4 linked regions of the Oryctolagus cuniculus genome follow. The protein of the gene in region 2 interacts with the protein of the main gene of each other region in a pairwise test. Links are inferred from orthologs where the notes say so. Each region holds a gene or a part of one and is shown on either strand. Other genes may lie near its edges. The genes, in order: IKBKG, TANK, HTT and PLK1.

The links.
Region 1: the proteins of TANK (region 2) and IKBKG interact in binary tests that used the Homo sapiens proteins (3 or more experiments, as listed by UniProt). The link is inferred for Oryctolagus cuniculus from reciprocal best matches to the Homo sapiens genes TANK and IKBKG.
Region 3: the proteins of TANK (region 2) and HTT interact in binary tests that used the Homo sapiens proteins (3 or more experiments, as listed by UniProt). The link is inferred for Oryctolagus cuniculus from reciprocal best matches to the Homo sapiens genes TANK and HTT.
Region 4: the proteins of TANK (region 2) and PLK1 interact in binary tests that used the Homo sapiens proteins (3 or more experiments, as listed by UniProt). The link is inferred for Oryctolagus cuniculus from reciprocal best matches to the Homo sapiens genes TANK and PLK1.

The regions. Positions count from the first base shown.
Region 1 is NC_091453.1:132,763,226-132,768,226, reverse strand, and holds the start of IKBKG (NF-kappa-B essential modulator), read right to left. Parts: upstream 3,072-5,001; coding exon 2,885-3,071; intron 1-2,884. UniProt on the Homo sapiens protein: Regulatory subunit of the IKK core complex which phosphorylates inhibitors of NF-kappa-B thus leading to the dissociation of the inhibitor/NF-kappa-B complex and ultimately the degradation of the inhibitor.
Region 2 is NC_091434.1:80,592,879-80,597,798, forward strand, and holds the start of TANK (TRAF family member-associated NF-kappa-B activator), read right to left. Parts: upstream 3,198-4,920; 5' UTR 3,061-3,197; intron 1-3,060.
Region 3 is NC_091433.1:1,886,093-1,890,398, forward strand, and holds part of HTT (huntingtin), read left to right. Parts: intron 1-1,621; coding exon 1,622-1,777; intron 1,778-4,158; coding exon 4,159-4,306.
Region 4 is NC_091450.1:15,675,389-15,680,224, reverse strand, and holds the start of PLK1 (serine/threonine-protein kinase PLK1), read left to right. Parts: upstream 1-1,505; 5' UTR 1,506-4,203; coding exon 4,204-4,611; intron 4,612-4,836. Other genes in the region: DCTN5 (dynactin subunit 5), read left to right, coding at 446-612. UniProt on the Homo sapiens protein: Serine/threonine-protein kinase that performs several important functions throughout M phase of the cell cycle, including the regulation of centrosome maturation and spindle assembly, the removal of cohesins from chromosome arms, the inactivation of anaphase-promoting complex/cyclosome (APC/C) inhibitors, and the regulation of mitotic exit and cytokinesis.

The sequences.
Region 1 (5,001 bases), on a different chromosome or scaffold from region 2:
TGAGCTCCTCAGTTCGGTCCTCCCCCGCCTACATCTCTGGTGTCTTCAGGATCAAGGGGTCCTAACACAGCTGCATACTCGGGATGGCCACGAAAGCAGACTTCACTGTGGCCTTGCTGGCTTTGATGGGGCAAGGTAGGTGCCTGTCTAAGCTTCAGTGCCTGCCTCTGCGTATTCGACAGGGACAAGAACACCTGCCCTCTAAGCAGCAGCAGCAGACACAGTGTTTGTGCAGAAACTCAAAAAAGAGCAGTCTTTGGCCGGCGCCGCGGCTCACTAGGCTAATCCTCCGCCTAGCGGCGCCGGCACACCGGGTTCTAGTCCCGGTCGGGGCGCCGGATTCTGTCCCAGTTGCCCCTCTTCCAGGCCAGCCCTCTGCTGTGGCCAGGGAGTGCAGTGGAGGATGGCCCAGGTGCTTGGGCCCTGCACCCCATGGGGAGACCAGGAAAAGCACCTGGCTCCTGGCTCCTGCCATCGGATCAGCGCGGTGCGCCGGCCGCAGCGCACCGGCCGTGGCGGCCATTGGAGGGTGAACCAACGGCAAAAGGAAGACCTTTCTCTCTGTCTCTCTCTCTCTCACTATCCACTCTGCCTGTCAATAAATAAATAAATAAATAAATAAATAAATAAGAGCAGTCTTCTTCTCGCCAGACTAAGCCATGAGCATATATCAGTGCCAGCGGCAGGTGGCTGGCAGAGGCCAGAGGAGAGGAAAGCCACATACCCAGCGACCACCCCAGGTAGAGGAAGAAGCATCTGACAAAAGCGATCAGTGACGTGCAAGGTTCTAGGGCAACCACAGAACCGTATCCAACAGAGGTAGACAGTAGTTTCACATCACTGAATGTTCCAAACCCTTGGCCATCACTGCTGCCTGCCCACTCAACCCGAGTCTCAACTTGTGTGCAATGTCTTTTAAATTTCTTTTTAGTGACGTAAAAATTCATGTAACATCAAATTCACCATTTTAACTATTTTAAAGTATAGTCATCCAGTGGTTTTTAGCTAATGAAGCTGTAAGATCATGCAACCATCAGCACTACCTAATTCCAGAACATTCCCAGCACCCCAGAAAGAAACCCCAAACCCAGCAGCATTCTCTCCCGTAGGCCCCCTGCCCGCACTCCTGGCGTCCACTCAACTGCTTTCTGTCTCTGAGACATGTCACGTGAATACAGGCAAGCTCTTCCGGGAAGTTTCTTCATAAACGTTCTGAGCAAACACTGTACCCTCCCTTGTTTGGTTTCACAGCCTACCTATAGACACAATCATGAGCACCTTGGGGGACAATCACCTTCAGGGCCCCGGGGGTCTCACATGCTGCCCCCCAAGCTTTATCCAGCTTCCCAGTTGGAGGCAATATAGCCTCAAGTCTCCACTTGCTGCCAGAGACTTAGCAAAGCTGTTGTGCTGAACACACAGTCTAGGAGGCAGAAGAGCCGAGCCACCACAGGCCATGGCATGAGCCCTGCACAACTGCTCTGAAATGCTCTGGGCCCCTAGGGATGAGCAGAGGCCCCGATCTGGCTGCCAGCTCTATGTGCATGACTTGTTCTGAAGACCCCAGCACAGTGGGTCCCACTCAAGGACAACTGTGACTCCCAGGGGACTGGAGGGGCACTATTGGCACCTGTGAGTAGAAGCCAGGGATACTGCTCACCATGCCACAATGGCTAGGACAGCCCTCACCACAGAGAATTAGCTGGCCCCAGAGGTCAACAGAACTGAGGTAGAAGACACTGCTGCTCTGTGCTCAAGACAGGGCCTCGGGGCCAGCGCCGTGGCATAGTGGGTAAAGCCGCCGTCTGCAGTGCCACCATCCCATATGGGCGCTGGTTCTAGACCCACTGCTCCACTTCCGATCTAGCTCTCTGCTATGGCCTGGGAAAGCAGAAGATGGCCCAAGTCCTCAGGCCCCTGCACCCGCATAGGAGACCCAGAAGAAGCTCCTGGCTCCCAGCTTGGGATCAGCACAGCTCTGGCCGTTGAGGCCATCTGCAGAGTGAACAAGCGGATGGAAGGCCTCTCTTTCTCTGTATGCCTCTGCCTCTCTGTAATTCTGCCTTTCAGATAAATAAATCTAAAAAAAAAAAAAAAAGGCGGGGCCTCTCCAATGCAACCTTCAAGGAAACCAAGCAGTCTCTTGGTGGCTAGCTGTCTCCTAGGAAGAGGACACACATTCCAGACCCAGGTCTGCTCCCTGCGTGCATGGCATCTGCCAGCACCACTCCCTGAGGCCACAGAGCACGTGACTCATCAGCAAAAGACCCTACATCACATCCAACACTCACTTAAGGAGGTGGGGAATGGGACTACAACTGTGGCAAGAGCCACTGGCCAACTAGGACATGAATGGCCAACTAAAGACACAACTGAGGCATCAGCTACCCCACTGCAGCAGGGGTCATGCCTCTCATGCTGGTCAACACCACCTCCTCTCAGGGTGGGCCACACCCACTTCCCAGGACAGGCCACAGCACCCCCCTCTCAAACAAGACCGCAACCCACCCCAGGAAAGTCTGAGTCCCCTCCCAGGGAAGAGGTCCTCTGAGGCTGGGCCACGCTGGTCCAGCCTGGAAGTGTCAGTCCAGCCCCAGAGTCCCTGGGGGTCAGCCAAGGCAGCCCACTTCTGCTGCCCACCCCTGCTTTCTCCCATCTCCTTCCCTTCTCTGCCTCAGTACTGACCCTGCCATGCACCTCGGTCTGCTCCCAGGGAACCCCGCCTGGAACCAGGAGGCAAGGTAGCTACGCTGGAAGCACAAGCTGGCTCTCGGGGTGCCCTCGCCCCACACCCAGCAGACGCAGAGGTGCACGAGAGAAGCCTTGCCTTCAGCAGGACCAGATCCCCTGACTTTGTGCCCCACCTACTTGCTGTCCACCTCACCTCGGAGCTCTTGGTTCTCCTCCAGACAGCGCTGGAGAGCGTCAGGAGCACCCTGCTCTGCGGGCAGATGCAGCATGGCCGGCTTCCCCAGAGAAGACTCTTCAGGCAGCACGTCCTGGTCCCCGGCCGGGCCGCCGCTGGGCTGCACCATCTCACACAGCTGGTTCTTCCAGGGCTGCCTGCTCATCCAAGGCACGCTCTTCGAGAAAGGCAGCAAAGGCATCCCATGAGACCCAGGGGAATTCTCATCCCCAGCAGGATAAGTACACTCTGTGCAGGAGCTCTGGGGCCATGAAGGCAAAATGCTGATCCCTCTGGCCGAAATGGGGTTTCGATCTAAGAGGTCACAAACACCCTCATTCCGAAGGAAGATGCTGAACCACCTCTGTGAGACTTGCACAGGCCATGGCTTAGCACTGGTTACGGACTCTGTACCAGCACCCATCTTCAGGATGCACACCTAAGGCAGGAACTTTGCCAGAGGCAGAAAACTAAGGATTATTGTAGCAGGAGACATCGGTGTGCGCTGGGACCCCTACCCTTACACAGACCCTCAAGCCGGAGGGGATGTTCCCTCCCAAGTACTGTAGGCTGCATGGTAGCCCCAAAACCTATAAATGCAACTTTATTTGGGAAAAGTATCTTTGCAGATGTAAACTAAGGGCCTTGATCAAAATGAGAGCTTGCTGGGTTATTCAGGTGGGCCTTAAATCCATTAACAAGTGTCTTTATAAAAGACAAAAGACAGAGGAAAACATGCAAGGAAGAAAGCCAGGTGAAAACAGTCAGAAGGGGCCAGCATTGTGGTGTAACGGGTTAAGCCACCATCCCATATAGGCACTGGTTCAAGGCCTGATTACTCCACTTCCAATCCAGCTCCCTGCTAATGCACCCAGGAAAGCAGCGGAAGATGGCTCAAGTGCTTGGGTCCCTGTACCCAAGTGCGAGACCCAAATGAAGTTCCTGGCTCCTGGTTTCAGCCTGGCCTGGCCCTGGCCATTGCAGCCATCTGGGGAGTGAAACGGCAGACAGAACATCTCTCTCTCTCCATCCTACCCTCTCTATCTGCCTTTCAAATAAATAAATCTTTTTTTAAAAAAAATGAAGCAGATAGTGGCCAGGGAGTGCAGTGGAGGATGGCCCAAGTCCTTGGGCCCTGCACCCCATGGGAGACCAGGAGAAGTACCTGGCTCCTGCCATCGGATCAGCGCGGTGCACCGGCCGCAGTGCGCCGGCCGCAGCGGCCATTGGAGGGTGAACCAACGGCAAAGGAAGACCTTTCTCTCTCTCTCTCTCTCTCTCACTGTGCACTCTGCCTGTCAAAAAAAAAAAGAAGCAGATAATAAAGAGATGTGGCCACATGCCAAGGAAAAATCAGAGCCACCAGAAGCTGGAAGAGACGAGAGAGAACCCTCTCCTCTCAGCCTCTGGGGCTGCAGTCCTGTCGACTTTTTGCTTTCCAACTACTGTCCTCCAGAACCACGAGATTACATTTCGGGTGCTTTAAGCCACCAAGCTTGTGGTCACTGCCTACAGCAGTCCTCACAGACCTAGCAAGAGGGGCTCTGAGTCCACTAACAGTCTAACAAGTGTAGCCCCTGGAGTCAGATATGCGCTGAGGAATCTTCAAAGTGGGAGCTGGCCTGACACAGTTGAGGAAGAAGACAGGCTGAGCCGCCTGTGTTTTCTTAGAAACCAGAGCTGGTGCGTGGGGAACAGCACCAACCCCAGGACCTTTTAAATCCTGCCAAGAAGACCGAGCACCAGGAGGAAGTGGCCAACCCCAATGCAAGTCTCCAGAAGCAGGCTTGACATGAAGGAATGTCACTTTAACACCAAATAAACTTGGCCACTTGGACTATAACACTGATCTTGTCCCAGTGAATATCCGCTGACCTAACCCTCTTCCTCCACACAGTTTCCTTCCCTGGCTTCCAGAACAGCCAGCCCATTCTCCCAGTTTCCTGTCTACCTTACTGGCCGCTCCTACTCAGGCTGCTTCTCTGGGATGCCACCCCCTTCATCTTGGGATGCTCCACGACTCTGTCCTGGGCACTTCTGCTCTTCCTGAACTCCATTCTTTCCCAGGCAACTTTCCATGAGGCCTCTTGGTTTTA
Region 2 (4,920 bases):
TTGTAAGATATAGTTAAAATGATACTAACCTTAAATATTTTCATTACAAAACAAAAAATAAAAATAAAAATAAAAATAAATGAACCAGACATTGATTTGAAAAACTGTGAAAAGTAAAATAGTCCAAAAACAGCTTTAAGAAAATATTAATAATGATTAAACAAAGATAAATGATTTAAAAAACAAAGCCTACTATAAAATCGGTACATCCCAAAGGTGAGCTCTGTGACAAGTCCAATTAGGGGAAAAAAATAAAGCATAAATGGACAAAGGAGTAATGAAAAAAGATTATCCAAAAAGTTATAGAGGTGATTCAAATGTGTGAGAATACCAGGTATGACAACAATTTGAAAAATTTGATTAAAAGAATAACTTTAAGTAAAAAATATTACTTAAGCCAGAATAAATCAATAATAGTAGAAAATATTAGAAAAACTTTTTAAAAATTGCTTCCAAAATGATGCCAAGGCCAATGGTGTTATCAATTTGTTCTTTAAGTATTTCAGGGAACAGATAACATATTAAACTTTTTCAGAATATGAAGCATTGTGTTATTTTACCTTATAAAGCTGGCCTAAATCTTTAATACTAAAAATCTATTAATTATAATTTCCAGAATAATAAAAATACACATTAATATCACTTATAAATGGGAATGTAGAAGTTCTCAGTAAATAACCAATCTTTATTTTTTGGAATGTATTTTCTTCATATGAATTGGATATAAGATTAACTAGTTTGAATGTGCATTTTGCTTACAATTACTTGTTATAACTGAATTGTTGTCTGCAGCTAGCACTGTCATAAAAGGAAAGATTTTTGCATAAAGCATCGAAACATCTGCTTTGAATTATTTGGTTGCTCTGCCTGGATAGGGTTCTTGGCTTATGCTACATCGTTTTTGCTCTTTTCTGCTAGTTTGAGTTCTAAGTTGAATTGTGAAGCCAAAATTATAGAGGAGAGGTGTCTAAGCATGTGGATTAAAGAGAAAAAAGTGGAAATCTGTAGGTTTAGTTTGGTTTCTTTTGATCAACTAATTATTTTAATCAGAGTAACATAATATAGTGTATAACTATAATCCTATCTTTATTACTGAAGCATTATAACATGATTTTTGATCACAAGATTTTTTAAAAAAAATGTAATTGCTATACTGTGTGTAACAGCACAATACTATATGCAGTAGAAAAATCATGCAGTTCTCTTTAATGAAACCAAAACCATATTAGACATAGATTAACATGAAGTGTTGATTTTTTTCTTTAATATGCCTGTAGTGAACTATGACATTTGGTAGTTTTTTGGTATTTATGATAAATGTATTTGTCCCAGACCAATAGCCAACATCATTCTTAGTGTTAACTGCAAGGGAAATTCCCACTGAGATCAGGAACAAGACAAGGTTGACTGACTGTTCTTTCTTCTGTTATTAAACACTGTTCTAGAAGTTCTGGCCAATGTGGTGACAAGAAAAAAGAAAGGAGACATATTTTTCTAACTAGATATCATATTTATGAATTACATAAAATAGTTTACAACAGATAGGGGGTCAAAATGACTGAAAGATAAAATTTTGAAATCAATATGACAGCAGTTATTTGAAAATACGGTGCAAAGAATATCAAGATAGTGCCTATACTATTGATATACAAGGAAGAAGCTAAAACAAAATCGATTGGAATACATTTTACAACAAAGAACCTTATGTTCACTGAGGCCTTAATACATTCAGAGACCTGGAAGTTCACCAGCAGGAAGGTTCTATATTAGTGGGTTGAGTATTTCCCTCAAATTAGGATAGAAATTTTATGAAATTCTCACCAGAACTTTTTCAAGGGTACTTAACAGACTTATTTTGAATTATCCAGTTAGCCATCTCTTTCATGGTCATAAATGTTTAAGAGAAATAACTGGACTTTATTCTAGGCCCCAGTAGGCAGCTAGACAAGTACCTCAGGCAGGTTGGACTAGGTATACAGCCCCAAGTCCTGCCCTGATTCTGAAGCTTATTGCATGGAGGCATTCCAGTGTGTCTGTCATGCGGTGTAAAGTGTACCCTGGAGAGAGTGTGGAGATGTGCTGGCCAAGTGACAAGGGAGACCTCGCTGCTAGGAATGATGTGGTTGCTCTGTGAACTCAGTGAAGTCATTTGCCTTTTTTCTCCATCCTGCTGCAAGATAACCTTCAAATATTGTTTTAATGTTGTAAAAAGGAAGGGCAGGGTAATGAATAAAAAGCCATGGAAAAAGAAGTGGTACGAATTTATATTTGAGCTCTTGCTCTAGACGACCCTGTGATCATTTTCGTCCAGTAGGCATGCCATGTGGCAGCTGTTAATGTAGCAACAGTGACAATGGTTCTTGATATTTAATTTTTTTGATCTGTCAATTTTTCCTAGGATTATTCTTAAGAAAATAGTACATCACCTCTAATATTCATGTTTGATCAGGAAAATAAAAAGGCCAGTTGGTAAGAAAATAAGACTAGATTACTATAATTGTGTTAGCTTAAATGTTCTAAGATAGGAAATACAGGGTTGTCTGTAAGCTTAATACTTTAGTGTGATGAAATGGGTTTCTAATGAAATGGAAAAATATTAAATGTAACTTAATTTTGAATACATATACTGGATCTGATTGGAATTGATTTTTAAAATATAACAAAAAGTATGAATACATATAATATTAATTTACAACCTACTAAACCATATACAATTTAATTTAGGCCAAGTATCTCTCAGTCTTATATTATGCAATAAAAAATCGCTCAGTGTAGAAGACTTATATTCCAGATATAAATTTAAACAATTATTTGAAGTAGAGGCATAAATTATATCTTAATAGTTAGAAAAGAATCAAATTTCCTTGGATCTTCGCTAGGGACCCAACTTTTAAAGGGCAATTTCTAACTATGACAATGAATACAAGGACATTACTGAATCATATAATAAAGTATTCACTTAGAAAAAGCAACAGTGGAACAAATATGCAACACTACAGTTATAGACATTCAGGCCACTTTGGTAGGCTGAGAATCTAAGAACTGCTAAAATTCGATTACCTCTTCTCCAGGTCACAATCTTCCTTCACAGACTATTCCTCTTTAAAGATGAAGGCAAGACTGGAAGTTTTTTTCCACAAGCTCTACCAATGCTGCCCAAACTGTCCTGAGCTCTCCCTTGTGTTGAACTGGGAACTTCCACTGAGAAATCCCCTGACTAGAAGACTTCCTTATTTGTAGCTACCAGCAGCCAATCATAGCAAGATATTGAAATGAAGAAAAGACTACCAGAAAATATTCTGTAAACCACCCGTGACTGTAGCTCTGACTTCCTTTTGAAGCAGAGATACTTTAGTTGAATAGTTAAGGTGTTTTAACAAAAAGTCAGAAATTATAAACTCAAAATAGTGTATTAGCATATTTTCATGTAAGAACATTTGAAAGGAAGTTTATTTGATAAATGAATTAATAGACTTTAAGAAGTCACTTTTTCACCTAAGCAGTCTATTTATAAATAGCAGGGAAAGATCAAATTTGAGTATAGATGTCTGCTTTAGGGCTATAGATGAAGACGAAGACTAGTTTAATAATGATTTTTGCTGCATTTCCAAGACTGATCCCAGGTACTCAGAACAGGAGTAAAACAAAGCCTCTTGAAACAGCTTCTCTGCTTTGAGAACTAGGGCCTGCTCTTTGTGTGGACGAGTGTGTATTACAGCACACTGGAGAAATGCTTCACAAATGCGTGCATTTCTCTGAGGCTACTTGGAGCAAAACATCAAGTTTTATGTGCAAATGGAAGGCAGCATATGCACCACAGACATTTTTCTTTGTTATAAAATTTTAGGGCTGGAAATGTCCTTTGACGCCATCTGTTCCATTTCCTTTTTATTACAGATGAGGAAACAGAGGGTAAATGCTCAATGTCAAAAAGGAAGTTAGAAGTAGCACTCAGATTAAATTCTGAGTCTTTTGAATCCAAGTGCTTTCTTTTTTTCTTTCTCTTTCTTTCTTAACTGTACTATACTCTTGGTGTATCAAATTACTGAACTGAAAATAGACTAGCAAAATGAGCTGTCTCCTTGTTTAGCTCCTGCATTTTTGTAGATGAGGTTGAGGCCATACTCAAAGTTCCACAATTAGTAAAAGGACTATAATATAGAACTTCTGACTCTTGGTCAGAAGTTTCTTTTCTACTCCTCTACTTTTAAAGCACTGCCTTCTCTTAAACTTACATGTTAAATAAGACTGATATTTTGCTTCTTATGATAAAATAATTTTGAAAGTGTCCTAAACACTGAGTAAGCTTATGAGTAAAACATTCCATATATTCATCTAACATAAAGTAAAACATTACATTTCCTTTAACAATATGTGCTTTATAACTGTTGTACTGATAAAATATCAAGCACAGCATGTCCTTTGGTGCTATGGCAAAATAAAACCTATTTAATAGAATAAAAATAGCAAAAAGAAAACAATAAAAAAGTGAGATAGTCACTGGTGAAAAGAGAACTTCTCAAGAATTTACATTTCTGGCAGGATACACAGCAGACTCATAGAATGGCAAAAGCCCAAAACAACACTCTGGCCTCAGAATCAGCCCTTAAGGCATTTGGATCTGGCTAAAAAGCCCATAAGAGTTTCACAGGCATGGAAAGCCAAGACACTGTGGCAAAAAAAAAAAAAAAAAAAACAAAAAAAAACAAACACCTAAATGAAAGATCTCTGTGAGTGAGATCCCTGCAGAAAGAATGGGCCATCAAAGAAGGCAGTACCTTTCTCTGAAGGGAGGAGAGAACTTCCACTTTGACTGTGGCCTTGTCTAAATAAGATTGGAGTTGGCGAACTCAAGAGGCTTCCATAGCCTTGGCAGCTCATGACAAGAGCCTCGGGTGATTACTGATGTCATAAATAAAA
Region 3 (4,306 bases), on a different chromosome or scaffold from region 2:
TCCCCACTGCCAAGAGGCGCCGCCTCGTAGGGCAGGCGCTGCAGGTGGCAGTCTTGGGGCCAAGACGCCTCAGCCACTCAGGCGCTCCGAGGGCGCTAGCTGCGGCCTTGGTGTCTCAGTGTCAGCGATGGAGCAGAACCTGAGGCGCTCTGGAGACACACCCGACCAGTCAAAAGTAATTTGTTACAAATAGGTTTTAAAAATTAGAATAGCTTTTTTATATTTTTTAAAAATTTAAAAAGCAAAATGTGTAGCTTGTTAGAAAACAGCTAAATTCACATGTCTGCTCTTGGCTCAGTTTATAATACCACGTAAGCACTGCAGACTTCGGTCATACACTGGGGAAATTGAGGTCGGGGAGAGGCAACTGGTCAGCATTGCTGTGGGCATAGTTTGGTCCTTGGCAGTCACCTGGAGGGTCTCAGCTATACCAGGCTTCCCGGGCCACTTCAGAGCCTCAGCCCCCGCCCCCACCCACTCCTGCAGAATAGGGTGCCCATGATTGAGTTCTGATTTTAGGTGTAATGTTAGGAGTAGAACCTTAGAGAAGGGGCCAGCATTGTGGCATAGCAGATAAGCTGCTGGCGTCCCTATGATGCTGGTTCATGTCCCAGCTGCTCCAGTTCTGATCCAGCTCCCTGCTGATGGCCTGGGGAAAGCAATGGAACATGGCCCTAATACTTGGACTCCTGCCACCCACGTGGGAGACCTGCAAGAAGCCTCTGGCTCCTGGCTTTGGCCTGGCCCAGCCCCAGTCATTGTGGCCATCTGGGGAATGAACCAGCGGATGGAAGATCTTTTTCTCCCTCTCTCTGTCTCTTCTGTATGTTAACTCTGACTTCCAAATAATAAATAAATCTTTAAAAAAAAAAAATAGAGAAAGAGGGTGTTGGAAGCTCACCTGAAAAAAACCACACTTACTTCTCAACAAGTAGTTGTCCGCCTGACTCCTCCTGTGTGGTGGTGAGGTCCTATCCTTGGGAGCCATCACAGAAGTAGCCCTTTCACTGTTCCCATGTGGGCGCTGGCTGTGCCAGGGCTGCCCTCTGGGGCAGGCGTGGGTGCCAGTGACGGGGTTTTCTTCATGTTCTGTGTTTAGGTTTTGTTTTTAGAGTGTCTGGGTTGAAGTCCCAGAACTCCACTTTTTTTTTTTTTTAACTTACTTGACAGGTAGAGTTAGATAGTGAGAGAGAGACAGAGAGAAAGGTCTTCCTTCCGCTGGTTCACCCCACAAATGGCCACTATGGCTGGCGCTGTGCCATCCAAAACCAGGAGCCAGGTGCTTCTTCCTGGTCATCCATGCCGGTGCAGGGCCCAAGCACTTGGGCCATCCTCCACTGCCCTCCCGGGCCACAGCAGAGCGCTGACTAGAAGAGGAGCAGCCAGGACTAGAACCCAGTGCCCATATGGGATGCCCGTGCTGCAGACAGAAGATTAACCAAGTGAGCCACGGCGCCGGCCCCCGTGTTAGGTTTTTAGGTTCTCGGTTGGGGTTCCTGTGCATTCCCGCACCTCACCTGTGAGCGTTCGAAGGTAGCCTGTCGTCGCTGGCGCGTCGGGCCGCACCGCCTGCCTTTCTGATTGCGTAGTCTTCCCTTCCTCCCCGACACTCCCCCTCCAGCTTCTTGTGGTCTCAGACCTGTTCACTGAACGCAACCAGTTTGAGATGATGTATGCGACGCTGACCGAGCTGCGGAGGGTGCACCCTTCGGAAGACGAGATTCTCATCCAGTACCTGGTGCCTGCCACCTGCAAGGCAGCTGCTGTCCTCGGCATGGTGAGTGGCACGCCCTGCTGCCGGTTCCCCGGCTAGTCTTCAGCTCAGAGCATCCAGTTCTGCTGCTGCCGTTCCACACTCCTCACAGAGATGGTCCCTGCAGCCGCACGACGGCCTCTCCACGGTCTGCCGGTGGCCCAGTGCACGCCCAGTCCCTCTGTGCCGCTTGCGTTTGCCACAGCGGCCTGCATTCCTGCTCCCAGGTCTGGGCACTGTGACGTGTTGTTGGCGCCAGGGCCAACTGGGTGTTGAGCTGCTGGGGCAAAGCCTCTTGGCCTGGATGGCTCACAGCCAGCCCGTGAGCACGACACGAGCAGGTTCTGTGCACAGTGAGGGGCGCTGCTTGCCGTGTCCCTGGGGTGGCATGAGCCCACCCGCGGAGTGCTGTCACACTGGGAGTTGGTTTTCAGCCTGCGAGTTGGGGGCGGGAGGTGGGGCACAAGCATTCGGGCCCTAGCAAGGGTCAGATGGTGTCTTCCGGTTCCTCCTTACTCTGCCTTGAGCTCATCGGTGCTTACGGCACCAGATCCTGTGCCTGTGTCACCATGGGAAGGCTGCCAGCCACACACGTCAGCTATACGCACCACTAACCATGAGTGCCGTCAGTCCTTACAACACTGTAAGGCACTCGTGTTCTGTGGCCACTTCAGTACTGTGTGTGTCAGCATTTAGGCCTCTGGTGGGGGCTTGAGGGTACCTGGCTACCCCGTGTTCCACGCGTTTTCCTCTGTGTGACAGCAGGAACATTGCCGCTCCTGCTATGCCCGCACCCCTGGCCTCGTCTACATCTGAAAGGCAGCCTGAGAAAGCAGAGGTCGGAGGTTAGCTGACTTGTGCCAGGTCGCACAGGATGGGGGCTCGCCCTGTTGCCCACTGCTCCCTCCTGGGGTCTGTCCCGGCAGAGCCTGGGTGCTGGAGCAGGTAGGGTGTCGTGGGTGGCCTTCAGCCTGCTGCCGTGCCAGTGACTCAGAGCCACGCAGGGAGCAGAGACAATGGGTGTGGGTCTCCTGGTGTGAACATGTTCTTCAAAGTCAGTGCCTCTGGGTGCTGCCTGAATGATGGCAAAGCAGCTCCCTGGAAGGGGCCTTTTTTCTCTGTGGGGAGTTCCAGTGGCTGGCTTAACTTTTCATTGTCACTGTGTTTTGTGCTAGACCCAGAGCCCCCAGGCAAATGTAAATCAAATAAATGAAATAAGAAATAACAATTTTCTAGAGAGATCCTGAGGCAGAAAGGCGCCTGGACCCTGCTTCTGAGTTCTGTGCACACAGCTTTTCCCTGGAAGATGGCCATCTTCTGTGAGGGTCTGCAGCGTGCCGTCCTCAGCCCCGGCAGGGACACCCGCGTGGTGGCAGCGGGCCGTGTTTTCAGCAGTGGGGCTGAGGAGTCGGGCAGGCCCAGCCCAGGGGTGAAGCAGGGAGCGTCTCCTTCTGCCTGAGGCTTGGGACGCAGAATTCCCACAGAAAGCTGGATGGCCACGGCCTCTCGTCAAGACAAGGTGTCAGCCAGCAGCAGCCACTCTGCGTGGAAACGGTGTGGAGAACCTGGTGTTGCAGCACGCCCACCACTGCCTGCGACTGTTACAGAGCACAGTGCCGCGTGGGTCTCGGTGTGTACAGGACCCGTTGTACTAGGACTCACAGGACTGAGCGAAATGGACCAAGGCAGCATCGAGTGCTGTCGAGAGTCCCCAAGATGACTCCATATTTTTGTTAGAAGGGATCACAGCTTAAATTCATTATAGGAAGGGGTTCAGAGCAGAGTCAGCAAAGAGAAAAGGCACAGGGCCAAAGTTCCAAGGAGACCGGCCGAGCTCCCAGAATCCTCTCCCAGTGGACTCTCCCAGCTCATGCTCAGTCCCCCAGCGAGACGTTCTGACAACACACAGGACATGCAGTCAGCCAGGGGAGCCCGGCAGGGACTCCGTGTGCGGGGTCTTCATGGGGGGCTGGTCGTGTGGGCACGCTCGGCCGGGCTCGTTCTAAACCTCAGACTCCCAGGACAGCAGGTGCAGCATGAGCCCCCTTGTCTGCACAGGCAGCCGAGGCCCGTGTGGGCAGTGGGCACCCTCCCAGAGCCAGCGAAGGGCTAACCTGGTGCGCAGGCCTCTCTCAGACAGCCAGGGGCTAACCTTGTGTGCAGGCTTCTCAGACAGCGAGGGGCTAACCTGGTGCACAGGCCTCTCTCAGACAGCGAGGGGCTAACCTGGTGCACAGGCCTCTCAGGCAGCGAGGGGCTAACCTTGTCACAGGCCAGCTCTCAGGGCTCTTCTGCATGCTGGACTTCTCTGGACATGAGGGCAGCCTCTTAGCTACAGGGCAGCCGGCCACTGGGCCAGCTGCTCCTGCTCCATCCTGGGCAACCTTGCCTGTGCTTGTTTGCAGGACAAGGCTGTGGCCGAGCCCGTCAGCCGCCTGCTGGAGACCACGCTCAGGAGCGGCCACCTGCCCAGCAGGATCGGAGCCCTGCACGGCGCCCTCTACGTGCTGGAGTGCGACCTCTTGGATGACACGGCGAAGCAGCTCATCCCCG
Region 4 (4,836 bases), on a different chromosome or scaffold from region 2:
CGCCGATCAGGAGCCAGGAGCTTCTTCCAGGTCTCCCACGTGGGTGCAGGGGCCCAAGGACTTGGGCCATCTTCCACTACTTTCCCAGGCCACAGCAGAGAGCTGGATCAGAAGTGGAGCAGCCGGTCTCAAACCAGTGCCTGTATGGGATGCTGGCACTGCAGGCGGCGGCTTTACCCGCTATGCCACAGCACTGGCCCCATATTGTCAGCTGTTTGAGCCACAAATGAGCTATGCTGAGCTGAAAGCAGGCGCCAGCTCAATGAACAGGACTCAGACCCTGGGACCACTGGTGATTTAGGGCCCCCTCCATGGGGCCCTGAATCTGAAGACATCTGGATGCTGGCTGAACCATCTGCTTGGCACACAAGTGCCCACAGGAAGGGGCTTCTCTGACAGGAACGCCTACAATCAAACTGCTGATCAGCTGCTGTCTCTGCTGCAGAGGCTGATTGCATTCCTGAAGTCAGATCTGTGCTGAAAGTCACCAGCTGGGAAAGGCACGTCACTGAGACTGTCACCTTTGTGCCTGCTTCGACAGTGCTGCTGTTTGTTGGCTCAGGCTCAGCTTTCGGGATTAGTTGCAGCTCACGACATTACCTGATAGTCTAACTCTGCTTCCCTTCACTTTTCTCGAGTACACACAGCCAAATGAGGTAGGTTGATAAAATGTTACTGTCCCCAGAAAGGGCTTGGTCTTTTCCAGCCTGTACATTGGGTAGACAGGACAAAAACAGAGGACAGTGATATACACTAATTTGTAAATTTCTGAAAATTTAGAATTTTATCCTCTACTAGTCTGCTAGGGTTACCGTAATGAAATACCAGAAACTGAGTGGCGTAAACAATAGGAATTTATTTTCTTACTATTCTGGAGGCTGGGGGTCCAAGAGCAAGGTGACAACAGGTTTGATTTTTCCTGAAGCCTCTCTCCCCGGCTCACAGATGGCTGCCTTCCTGCTGTGTCCTCCCAGAGTCCCTCTGTGTGTGTGTCTCTGCGTCTTATCACCCCTTTCTATAAGGCCACCAGTCCTATTGGATTAGTGCCCACCCTAACAACCCCATTTCAACTTCATCTCCGCTCTAAAAGCCTATCTCCAAACACAGTCGCATTCTGAAGTACCAGTGATTAGGGCTTCAACAAGTGGATTTTGGGGGATACACCCCATAGCATCCTTACAAGCTCCTGACTGTGTCTTTCTATTACGTTGTGTACAGATCTGTATCTGCAAAGCTGTCTTTGTACCTCCTGTATACAACTCTTCCATACAAAAGGCCTAAAAAATGATTGAAAGAATGTAAAGTTAGGATTGTTGAAGAGGACTAATTTTGTAACATTGGAGAAATAAAAACCTGGCACCTGAGGAGGCCTGATACTTGTTCTTGAGAACTATTCCTGAAAACCTTCCCCTCTTCCTGAAGGGTAAGTTCCCCGCGCTGCCTTTCCACCTGTTGGAGTGCTTGGGGTTCAGACGGCGGACAGTGGGGGAGGGGAGGGCTCCAGCACTTTGTATACCAAACACCTTCGCTTGCCATCCACACTGACGAGTAGGATAAACTTGTGTCGTGAACAGGCAAAACTGGGACTCACTGCCTTCAGGAAGTTCCTCAGAAACCAAGCACTCTGGGAACTTTTCTGATGGGCCTGAAAACATGGTAGGAGTCCACAGGGGGGCCCCTTGTTAACCTGTTGTGCCTGATTTATGTCCTGCCCTCATTTTGTAAAGGCGTTGTATCCAGGGGTGCCACCTGGGCCTCTGGGGTTGTACTTGTCTATGTGACCCTGACTGCCCTGACCCTGCACCAGCCCTGGAAGGGCTTCAACCTGCTGGCCAGAGTCCTGCCGTGCCTGAACTGACGCCTCAGGTCAGTTAGCATGGTTTACATCACCCAAGGCGGAGGCCACCTGGCTTTCTGAGATGGACTTCTGCAGTTATGGGAGTGATGGGAACCGGCTAAACTTCAGACCCGTAGCAGGCGTGACTGAAACCACAGTGCAGGACGGTCTTGCCTCTTCACACGCAGTCTTACTGGTAATTTTTCTGTGAAGAAGCCTCAGCCCAGAGGGTGAGTGGTGCAGAAGTTAATAGAGAGGTGATAAGCATTAACGGAGCAGGCTGCGGCTGGCTCCCCTTCCGAAGGTCTGTTTGCAAGGTTGACCCTGGGCTGCTGTCTGGGAGCTTAGATTTCAGGTAGGTTCTCACCGCTCCTGCGTGCCGTACACCTGCTTCTCCTGAGAGTCTGGAGTTCTGATAGGTGTTAGGCAGAGGCCAACATCATGACCAGCACCCAGTGAAAATTGTAGGTAGTCCCAACTCATTGCTGGAAGAAGTCAGGGTGTCCTTTGTGACTACGCTGGGAAATGACTGGGAAACTCACACCTGGGTTCCTCTGGACTTCGCTCCGTGTGTCTTTTTCCTTTGCTGCTTTTATTCCTAGCCTTTCGCTGAACTAACTCACAGCTGTGAGTTCAAGTGTGTGCTCCGTCCTGCGACTGTCCTAGTGAATCATCTAACTGAGGGGTGGTTAGGGCACAAGGAGGGCTTCTTGGGTGTTGGTGGGGTTCTCGTTCTCAGTCTGAGTGTTGTTTACATGGGGCATGTTTACAGTTTGTGAAAATGTGCCGCTAGGATGTGAAAATTGTCCTGTGGAGTCTTCCAAATATTAGTGAAAAGCTAAAATAGAGTACACTTGATGGGGATTTTTAAAAAAATGATGATTAAAAGCAAAAACCCTTGCTTTTACTCAGCAACCATTTCGGTAATACCCGCACCAGCCACGCATGCTGCACTGCCAGTTGGCATGAGGTGCTGTCTTCGTTGCACCAGCCTAAGTGGGGGCCTGGTCAGGAGGAGCTTGTGCTCTGATTGTCGCTACTCAGAGACCGTCCACCTTCGTGTTCTGCTGTCCCAGGGTTGTCAGTCAAGGGCCTTCGGAATGGGCGCAGGCGGGAGCTGGGTGCTGTGGCAGACTGGGAGGGTTGGTCAGTCCAGAGTGGTTGGCACCTCGGATTATTTCAGAAAAAGCCACAAATCTGAATTTTTGTGTGAGCCACCTTTATTTATTTTTTTTTGTAACTGTATTTATTTTGCCTAATTTGAAAGGCAGAGAGAGAGAAAGAGAGATTCTCTATCCTCTGTTCACTCCCCGCATGTCCACAACAGCCAGAGCTAGGCCAAGCCAGAGCCAGAAGCCAGGGACTCAAGTAGCTGAGCGGTGACCTGTGGCCTCCCAGGGTGTGCATTAGCGGGAAGCTGGACTGAAGCAGAGGTGGGACTTGAAGCCAGGCACTTTGACAGGGAATGCAAGTGTCCCCAAGCCCAGCTTGAGCTCTCTTTGCTGTGAATGAATTCAAATTTTCAAAGTGGAAAACCACACCAAACAGCCTGCAGCTCAGCTGTGGCTGTGACCTGCCCGTCTCTAGGCATTCTCCCAGCCAGCCTCCCTCTCCCGCGTCCTCTATTTTAGGCACTTGGGAAGGCGAGCCAGGCAGCTTTCCCGCGTCCCGTAGCGGGCTCCAGTGTGTGTAGGAATCACCTGGGCAGATTCTGACCTGGGAGAGCTGGAGCAGGCCTGAAGCTCCAGGTGATGGTGATGCTGCTGGCTCCTGGACGGTGCTTTGAGCGGCGTTGCTGTGTAATGCAGAGCCCTGGAGGGGACCAGAGGCGTCCCGTGAAGGTGCCTGCTTTCACTTAGATTCCAGTTTATTCGGGGTGGCTCGCCCGAGGGCCCGGGGCAGGCAGGCGGCTGCCCTGCAGGTCAGCTGTGGCTCTCTTAAACTGCCTCTAGGCGCTGCGGGGTCTCTACTCTTGGGAAAAACTTGCCCGAGGGAGCGTGTGAACCGCAGGAGCGGCCCGGCTCCCCAGTAAGGGAGAAGCCCTGAACGAATTCCCCTCTACCCGGGGCTGGGGCTCGGCCTCCCCAGGCCGGGGACGCTTTCCCAGGAGAGCCCACGTGTCTACCGTCGGCGCCTTGCTGTCAATCAAGTGTTTTCCTGCCCGGGTCCGGGCTGACGGGCGGGCGGTGCGGAGCGCTCCCATGGTCCCGCGCGGCGGGCGGGTTTGGATTTTAAATCCCCGCGGCCAATCAGTGGCGCGCAGGCTGTTGTAACGTTCCCAGCGCCGCGTTTGAATTCGGGGAGGAGCAGTGCGGTGCAGAGCCTCTGCCCCGACCCTGCCAGGTCCGCCGAGCAGCCCCGGGAGCATGAGTGCAGCGCTGAGTGCAGCAAAGCTGGCGCGGGCGCCGGCCGACCCAGGGAAGGCTGGCGGCCCCGGAGTGGCAGCTCCCGGAGCACCGGCAGCTGCTCCGCCGGCCAAAGAGATCCCCGAGGTCCTGGTGGACCCACGCAGCCGGCGGCGCTATGTGCGGGGCCGCTTTCTGGGCAAGGGCGGCTTCGCCAAATGCTTCGAGATCTCCGATGCGGACACCAAGGAGGTGTTCGCCGGCAAGATCGTGCCCAAGTCTCTGCTGCTCAAGCCGCACCAGAAGGAGAAAATGTCCATGGAGATCTCCATTCACCGCAGCCTGGCCCACCAGCACGTCGTCGGCTTCCACGGCTTTTTCGAGGACAGCGACTTCGTGTTCGTGGTGTTGGAGCTCTGCCGCCGCAGGGTGAGTGCATCGCCAAGGCGCTGGAGCTGCTGGGGGGCCTGGGCTTGGGGGGCCCAGCTCTGGAGCTGCAGGCAAAGGGGCGGGCGCACGGGACGTGGGATTGCTGGGGAAGGGAGTTCCGGTTAAATGGAGCCTGGGGCAGGTCGCTGCTGGGGAAAGCAGCTCCCGGACGCCAGGTGTTTGGAGTGTGTGAGGAGGGAGGTGGGCGGGTAATGGACGCTAGGG